2 linked regions of the Oryzias latipes genome follow. Each later gene encodes a partner of the first gene's protein in a complex. Links are inferred from orthologs where the notes say so. Each region holds a gene or a part of one and is shown in the gene's direction. Other genes may lie near its edges. The genes, in order: ercc2 and polr2d.

What was found.
Region 2: ercc2 (region 1) and polr2d share a complex: the UniProt entries of both Homo sapiens proteins name them as parts of the TBP-based Pol II pre-initiation complex. The link is inferred for Oryzias latipes from reciprocal best matches to the Homo sapiens genes ERCC2 and POLR2D.

What each region holds. Positions count from the first base shown.
Region 1 is NC_019871.2:4,134,440-4,138,758, forward strand, and holds the start of ercc2 (general transcription and DNA repair factor IIH helicase subunit XPD), read left to right. Parts: upstream 1-1,431; 5' UTR 1,432-1,602; coding exon 1,603-1,607; intron 1,608-1,785; coding exon 1,786-1,885; intron 1,886-2,002; coding exon 2,003-2,080; intron 2,081-2,148; coding exon 2,149-2,211; intron 2,212-2,282; coding exon 2,283-2,396; intron 2,397-2,472; coding exon 2,473-2,589; intron 2,590-2,676; coding exon 2,677-2,793; intron 2,794-3,492; coding exon 3,493-3,616; intron 3,617-3,692; coding exon 3,693-3,789; intron 3,790-4,319. UniProt on the Homo sapiens protein: ATP-dependent 5'-3' DNA helicase. Component of the general transcription and DNA repair factor IIH (TFIIH) core complex, not absolutely essential for minimal transcription in vitro.
Region 2 is NC_019878.2:10,414,369-10,418,856, reverse strand, and holds polr2d (DNA-directed RNA polymerase II subunit RPB4), read left to right. Parts: upstream 1-1,533; 5' UTR 1,534-1,669; coding exon 1,670-1,748; intron 1,749-2,281; coding exon 2,282-2,462; intron 2,463-2,533; coding exon 2,534-2,629; intron 2,630-3,542; coding exon 3,543-3,621; 3' UTR 3,622-4,126; downstream 4,127-4,488. UniProt on the Homo sapiens protein: Core component of RNA polymerase II (Pol II), a DNA-dependent RNA polymerase which synthesizes mRNA precursors and many functional non-coding RNAs using the four ribonucleoside triphosphates as substrates.

The sequences.
Region 1 (4,319 bases):
ATATCCATGTTCCCAACATTGAAATGCTGTAAATATATCTCTGTAAATCTTTGAATTAAAGGATTCTGATGAAAACAACACGGTGTGACGAGTTTCACGCATAACAAAACATTAAGAACAAAAAAAAAATAACAGCAGCATCAGAATCAACAACAGCAGTAAAATGTTCATGCAGTGAAAATCTAAATATAGTCTGTGACTTTATTTTGAAATCCTGCAATAGGACCAGTCAGCCTAATTGAGGTGAGTTTCAGCTATTTTTCCAACTAAAACCAATCGGTGCACATTTTATGGACAAAGGATGTCATAAACATGTGGAAGTTGAGCACAAATCTTCATGACTTTGTTAAATGTTCATTTAAATTCTTGGAAAATAATAGAAAAGGTGTCAGTAGTTGCTCTGTAAATCGCTTTTATTAGATTAACAGAATCACACTTTATTTTATTTACATTTTGGTTTTTGCAACAAAATGGGATTAATATAAGAAATGGACTTTAATGCTGATGAAATACCGCCCTCTGATGGCCGTAGTGTAAAGCTGCAGTTTTGAAATAAAAAGCAGTGAAATAAACACATTAGGGCCCGAGCAGAGGGATTGCAAGGACTCTATGGTTTTTAAAATGTTTATTATTATTCCGAGTAAAGACTCGCCTATTTGAGGCTTAAAAAACTAACCAATTTTTGCACACGTCTCAGAAGTTGCGAAAATGTATTAGAATAAATGAATGTATTACGTGGTAGACCGGCACGGGTGCATAAAAATGGCTCGATAGATTTATCTCAAATGCACACAGACAGGCGCACACAAGACTTGCATAACCAAAATTGTTGAACAGGGGTGTAAAAACAGCACCCATCCCCACATTAGTGTAAAAATATTCATCAGAGTTAAAAACTGATGCCTAACTTTGAATTCTGAATTCAATGGCGTGCTTATTTTTTTCATTTAAGGAAAGATGACAAAAAAAGAGAAACTTCTTTTTCAATTTAAAAACAGAACATTAGAACCAAATAATCTCCTGTAATCATCTTCGTATTTTAGATTTTTAACACAATTTTTCGACTTATATTTGTCGATTAAAATACAAGACTAATATTTGAAAAAGAATGAAATTCTGAAATTAAAAGAAAAAATCAAAACATTGAGGGGTCTGACGTCACATTTTCTAACGCTGGTTGAAGTTTGAGCAGGAGCTGAACATTGTTGCCCTCTGCTGGGGAAAATGCACATTACAGGCAAAGAGACTTTTTTTCGTATGTTTCACAGAGGGGCTTTATTTAGTATGGAAGCATTTCTGTTGCATAATTCAAAAATAAAAGCATTTCTGGTTTTGACTTTTGTTTTTGAATTGTGCAACAGAAATGCTTCCATAAAAGAATGCCTTTTGCATGTGACTCTTCTTAATGTTCCTGCAGTTCTTCTTCCTGCCTGCAGGTGGTAGAGCGTTTAGAAACGCCGGCAACAACAACAACAGTAGAAGAAGAAGAAGTCGTTAACATTTTGGTGTTCTCTGTGTAGTTATCCTAAATCTGTTCACTTTAAAAGGACCAATCTGTCGTAAATCAAAGACGAAAGTTTTTGGAAAGTTTCTCTTTAGAAGATGAAGTGAGTTCTTTTGTTACTGTGACGTAAACAAAAAGTCTAAACCAGCACGTGTTGATGCTAATGCTAATGTTTGGTTTGTGTTGACAGAGCTAGCAAAGAAAAGTTTTTCGTCTGTTAAAGTGTTTGCGTGTGTCTGCATTGGGCTGTTTTATTCAGTCTGTTTGCTGTTTGGTCGCAGGTTGAACATAGAAGGTCTGCTGGTGTATTTTCCGTATGATTACATCTATCCGGAGCAGTACTCCTACATGCTGGAGCTGAAGAGGACCCTGGACGCAAAGGTGGGCTTCTTTCACTCGGGTGTTAGATGGGTTTCTGGGAAATGTAGTGCGGTAATTTCATAAACCAGGAAAACTCACTGGAGACGGTGAAGTGACTGTGTTGTGTCTGCGTTTCAGGGTCATGGAGTACTGGAGATGCCTTCAGGAACAGGGAAGACCATCTCCCTGCTGTCCCTCATTGTGGCCTATCAGAAGGTGAGTCCAGCTCTGCACCTTCTGAGCCTTCATGGCGACAGCTGCTCTAAGCTTTATTTGATTCTCAGGCGTTCCCGCTGGATGTGACCAAGTTAATCTACTGCTCCAGGACAGTTCCTGAGATCGAGAAGGTGAGTCTGACCCCTCCGCAGCCAACGACGAGCAAATCTCCAGGAGCTTTTCAAGTCCTCCGCTCATCTAGGTCGTGGAGGAGCTGAGGAAGCTGATGGAGTTTTACGCTAAAGAAACCGGAGAAGTCAACAACTTCCTGGCTCTGGCGCTGTCTTCCAGGAAAAATCTCTGCATCCATCCTGAGGTAAAAACCCTGAAAGCTGAGGGTTTCCGTGCTTTCTGGAAATGTTGATCAAACAGGAAGCTCCCTCGTCCATCAGGTGAGCTCTCTGCGCTTTGGGAAGGAGGTAGACGGGAAGTGCCACAGCCTGACGGCGTCCTACATCCGGGCTCAGCGCCACAGCAACCCCGACCAGCCTGTCTGCCGCTTCTACGAGGTAGAAAATCGCCTCAGCTTACGGGAAATCGGACCGCATGAACGTCAACGTGGCTGAAGCTCTGCGAATGTTGGGTTTGTGTCTCAGGAGTTTGACGCCGTCGGTCGGCAGGTTCCCCTTCCTGCCGGCATCTACAACCTGGACGACCTGAAGGACTTTGGCAGACGAAAAGGCTGGTGTCCTTATTACCTGGCTCGGTATTCGGTATGTAACCAAGCAGAGGCGCTCAGCACGTGCCTGACCTTTAACCCTTTCAGGGACTGAATGGATCTGGAGAATGTTTTCCTTTGTGTCCATTTAACCAATTCCAATTAAAATCCAGATCAAAGCAGCCCAACTGCGCAGCTGCAGCTGCAGCTGCAGTCAGGTTGCTCAGACACCTGTCAGTCCGTTTCTGTAAAGGACTGGAGGATTTTTCATCAACGACTGTTAATCTGTTCGATCTAAGTCCAAACTTTGACGTGGTCGTCACAGAAACTTGATGTTTGATCCATTCAGCAAACCTCATGCTGCCGCAGAGCTCTGGAGCTTCAGATGGACTTTCTTCTTCGAGATTTTCCCTGAAGAAGTTAAAATTTATGAAGTAGTCGGTGAAGATGAAAAGCTGCCCCTGACCATCACACAACCACCCCCATGCTTGACTTCTCTTCTGATGTCCTTAGTTTGACCACAGCTTCCAAGAAACGTCATGACAAAGAGTCATGACCTCTGACCTGAACCAAGTCATGTGACCTTCTCTCTGCCTTCTGCTTCTATATGGCTGTGTTCTTGAGAAAGTTAAAAACGTCACTATTTACCAAAGAAAATAATCCAAACTCATGTTTAGTTTGTGATTTTTAATGACTGTTGGCATTAACTTCATGTTTTTTTTTTCTATTTAAAATCTCATTTTTCTGTCCTAAGATTCTTCACGCCAACATTGTGGTGTACAGCTACCACTACCTCCTAGACCCAAAGATCGCAGATCTGGTGTCCAAAGAGCTCGCCAAGAAATCGGTGGTCGTGTTCGATGAAGCTCATAACATCGGTAAACCGTCTCTCTTTAGTTTGTTTCATTTTTCTTTTCTTCCCCTTCATCTTTTTTTGTCCGCTTCGTTCCTCAGACAACGTTTGCATCGACTCCATGAGCGTGAACATCACCAGGAGGACTCTGGACCGCTGTCAGAGCAACGTGGAAACACTTCAGCACACCATCCAGAAGTGAGACGCAGCCCAGTCTGCTTTTATCCACACCAGGACGAAAAACATCTGGAGTTTTCTGCGTTAAAACCCCCAAAAATTTGAGCTGTAAAACCCTAATGGCACCAGGAATTGTGGGTAATGGAGTTTCTGTTTGTCATTAACCATAAATCAGACTCATCCATATTAAAAAAAAAAAAAAGCTCAATTATGAAAGGAAATCAAATTCAAATGTTGATTCTGAAAACATCAGAGCTTGGAGTCAAAACTGTTTTTTTTCTTATTTCTATAAACATCTTTGGGTGGAAAAATAAGACGCTTCTGTTTGATCCAAACTGAATTAAAGAGAAAAATCCTGAAGTTTCCTGCCTCTAGGTTCAAGGATTTTTTCTTCATCCTGGAAGTGTCGGTTAATCAGCTGGTCCTCCATATGGAGAAATAAAAGCAAATAGGCGTGTTTTTATTACCATAATCTGAGAATTTCTGTTAAATAATTTCAGGAATCGGTCATGTGTGCTTCATTCCAGCTCCTCTCATCCGATTCGTTCTCA
Region 2 (4,488 bases), on another chromosome or scaffold:
TTACAAAGACATATCTTCCATGCCCCCATAGTCCTGAGCAGGACTACGGGGGCATGGAGTCCATTCCAGTTACTTCAGGGCATAAACAACATAACTCTAAGCACTTTACTAGACCATCAGAAGTCTATTCAAACTTCTTAAGGGACAATTTTAGAGTAGAGTACCTAATTTACCAATAAAACATGCTTTGAACCCCTTCAGGAACCTGAAGGTCTTGGAAAAAACAATGGACACACAAAATGTAAAAACCTCACACACATTCCAACCCTACCGTTCTGAAATTTGAATCACCACGCCACCTGGTGGAGTTGCAGGAGATTACAAAAGGTGAGAAAATAATAGTTGCTACAGATTCATTCTCAAGTTTACAGAGTTTCAGAAGTGTTTGCTACCAGTGTAGCTGTGAAAAAAAACGTGTGGCAACTTCAGGTGGAGTATAAAGACTAAAGTAAGACTAAATAAATAAATAAATAAAGTAAGACTAAATAAAGTCTGCATATGACCTTATGACCTGCAAGGAGCAGGTAGAGAAGCATCTAGAGAGGAATAAAGACCAGTCACAGCAAGATAATGTACCTACATGGAAATACAAGAAGCAATTGAAACTGTTGAAAACTAATAATGCGGATAAAGAACATTTTTAGTTATAAAATAAAGGTTTGTATTTTAAAGGTCACATGGTTAAAAAAAATACAAATTTTATATGATATAAATAACACTGACAAACATATCAGTAAGAAATTCAAAAGAGAGGGGAAAAGATGAATAAAGTTAAAATGAATATCAGGGACCAAAAATCTCAGCAGGTCTATGCTATGGCGAGCTCACATGGTCTTTTATTATTGAACACTACAAATGTTAAGTTAGGAACCTGTAAACATAAATGTAAAACAGTTAGAACATTTAGAACAAAAAATGAGATAGATCATCAAATAAAGACACAAGAAAGCAAAACAAAGACAGAGTCAACTAAAAAACACCTAAATATGAAGAGTTTTGATATAATTTAATGCCTTTAAAAAAGTTGAAACATTTTCTTGCTTTTTTACTTTTCATGAATTAAACAAATCTACTTAAGAAACACATTAAACAGTGGTTTGGTTTTTAATAATTTACTTTTATGAATATAAAATTTGCTTTTGATTGTTAAAATATTTTAAACTAAATTTAACAGACTGTTATGTGAAATTACACCAAAAAGAATGTTGTTCTTTTTTAATGAGACTTGAACAGAGGAATTTGAACACCACAAATGAAACTCATCCCCAAAAAGATTCAAAGTACATGCAATCAACAAGCAATTTCAACACAAAAATACAATTGTTTTCTTTAAATCTTTAACTTTAACATTTATTTACAAGGAAATAAATTATTTATTACAAGGGCATATATGACTGAACAGTTCTATCGTTGTGTTTGAGGGGAGTTCCTACACTTCATCTTCCAGGACAGTAGGTAGCAGAAGCGCACCATTATTGCTAGATGACACCCGCCTAAACCAGAAGAAAGCAGAGGAAGAATATCACCGGAAGTAGATCGGTGTTGTGACCGGAAGTTCCCCGAGCGCCGTTGTTCTCTGCACAGTTAACGTTCTCACCGTAGTCTCCGAGAGAAGCTGACGGAGCTCATCGGTACTGCGCGCCTCTGCGACCCGTGACTGTGACTCGACATGACTGCCGCTGGAAGCTCGGTTTCCTCGCACGTGGGAGACGTCGAAGAAGACGCGTCACAGTTGCTGTTTCCCAAAGGTGGCGCGCACAAATACTGTTTACTTCCGAAACTTTTTGTTAGGTTACAGTGTAACCTGTATTGGAAACAATTACGTTGCTATATGTGACCGATGAGGATAATCATCCCCTGATTATTAATTTATGTAAGCTGCATCACCGATTTGAATCTGAATATTTTCATTATACGACCATCATCATCTGTACTGGTTAAATGTTTCTCTCACTGACACACATGTATTGTGATCATCATGATGTTTGGTCCACTGATCAAGATAGAATTATTTGTTTGTTTGCTGAGAGTAAACTATAAGTTTAAATTTACATGGATTGCTGTCCTGGAAGGTCTGAGACTCAACAAGCTTCCTAAAATAGTACAGGCTGACTTTGATCAGCAGGATTTTTGTCCTACTTCTTGAAACAGGCCTTAAATTCCAGTCCACAATCACTGCAGGAATCCTTCTGTCTTTCAATCAAAATGGTTCTGGAGCTGATATTCTGTAGAATCTGAGCTCAAATTCAGTGACTAACCAGCCCCCTCCTGCTGTCTGCAGAGTTTGAGAACTCTGAGACGCTGCTGAACTCGGAGGTCCACATGCTGCTGGAGCACAGGAAGCAGCAGAACGAGAGCGCCGAGGACGAACAGGAGTTGTCCGAGGTCTTCATGAAGACTCTCAACTACACGGCCCGCTTCAGCCGCTTCAAGAACCGCGAGACCATCACTGCCGTGCGCAGGTAAGGATGCCCCTTCTGGTCCCAGGTCCTGGCCCTGATCTGGGTCCTAATGGCCTTTCTGTCTGTCTCAGTCTCCTCCTGCAGAAGAAGCTCCATAAATTTGAGCTGGCCAGTTTGGCGAATCTGTGTCCTGAAGCTGCAGAGGAGGCTAAAGCTCTGACCCCCAGGTGAGTCTGGACTGAACCGGACTTGTTCTTTTCACCCATAAATTACAGGGTCTTCGTTAACCAATCTGTGAAAAGATTCACCTGACATCAGATTATTCTGAACACCTTAGTGATTTTAGGATTTTTGGGAGGCTTGACTTTTTATTTTATTTTAACACTTTCAGTAAATTGAGTAAAAGTATAAGTTAGTCTGGATGCCAAGGAGATTTATTTAGTAATGTCGAAGTAACACTATTTTACATTAAGGGCAGACGTGTGCAGCTTTAATTGAATTAATTCAAAGAGAAAACCTGAGAGATTATCCTAAACTGGATCAGAAAACATTTTGGATCAATTCATCACAGACATGTAGTTTTATGCTGTTCTTACTTGTCAGGAATTGGTTTCTTGTTGAAATTATTATGCATTAAAAAATAGCAGATAAGTTATTTTAGATTGTTTAGTGATCATTATTTTTGTGAAAATATACAGTGGTGGACAAAATTGTTGGTACCCATCAGTTATAGAAACAAATTCCAGAATTCTCACTAAAATGACTTGAAATGTTCAAAAGTAACAATAAATTAAAATTTAATGAAAATGAAATAATCAAAATCAGCTTTTTAATTTGTTGATTGACAGAATTATTTAAAAAAAAAAAAAAGCTAATGAAATAGGGTTGGCCAAAAATGATGGTACCTCCATAACAGACTGAGAACTAATTGCCCAGGGGGTCATGATGAACTCAGGTATGTCCTTAAATTGACATCATAGCTGTCTTCAAACTCATAATCAGTCAGTCTGTCAACAATTTTGTCCACCACTGTATCTTACTGAGATATGGATCGTTTTGCAGGTGATGTTGTTACAATTCTTATCAAATAATTCATCGTTGAGAGAATAAAGTTCTGCCGGGTTCTGCTTCTTTTCTCAGTCTGGAGGGTCGCTTTGAGGATGAAGAGCTGCAACAGATCCTGGATGACATTCAGACCAAGAGGAGCTTCCAGTACTAAGACCAGGACCAGCAGCTGGACCTGAGACCTCCAGAACTCTCCTTAACAGAGGCAGCGTGGTTCACGTTCCACCGGGACCAGAAAAATCACAGAACATTTAATCCACCCACCACCCAGCAGAATCTTGATGTACTTTAAAGGCACACAAGATGCTGTTTGTGTGTCTGATTCTATCCGGTCTGTGGAAAATCCAGCACATGTTGATAAGAAAACTGTATCTGTGCTCTGCTCCTTCGGGTACCTATGGGCAGAAACTCAAATCCATCATCAGTGAGCTTATCCCGAACACCGCCCACTCGTACTGCCAGCTCAGACCTGCAAGACCACCTTCGAGTCAGAGTCCACGCAAAATTGATTCCCAACAGAACCTTCTTGTCCCAGGAGAACCCCTTTTAGTGCTTTTGTGTGGTTGTCTGTCCAAACCGCTTATTAGGAGCGGAACAGGGAACTGGATTTATTGTGTTGATTGAAAATAAAAATTTAAAAAAACTACACCAAGGAACAACCAAGCAAAGTTTGTAAAGCTCTTTTAACAAAAAGAATCACAAAGTGAGAAGGAGAGCCGGTGGACCATAGGGACAGAGGCAGGGAGGGATCTCATCAAATCTTCCAATCTTTATTACAGCTAAAGGGTAGGTAGGTGGTGAAACAGGAAAAGATGCAGCAAATGAATCACAGGTGCTGTCATTCCCTTCTCCACCAAGGATTCCTAGATGGATTGCTGTCCATTAAAAAAAAAAAGTTATATACACAATATAAATTAAAAAATGTAAAGACGTGATATAGCATCAGTATTAGCATTGGCCCCAGGGACACAGCAGGGAGAGAATTGGGGGGTACATTTTAAACTGTTCTTCTGAACACTCA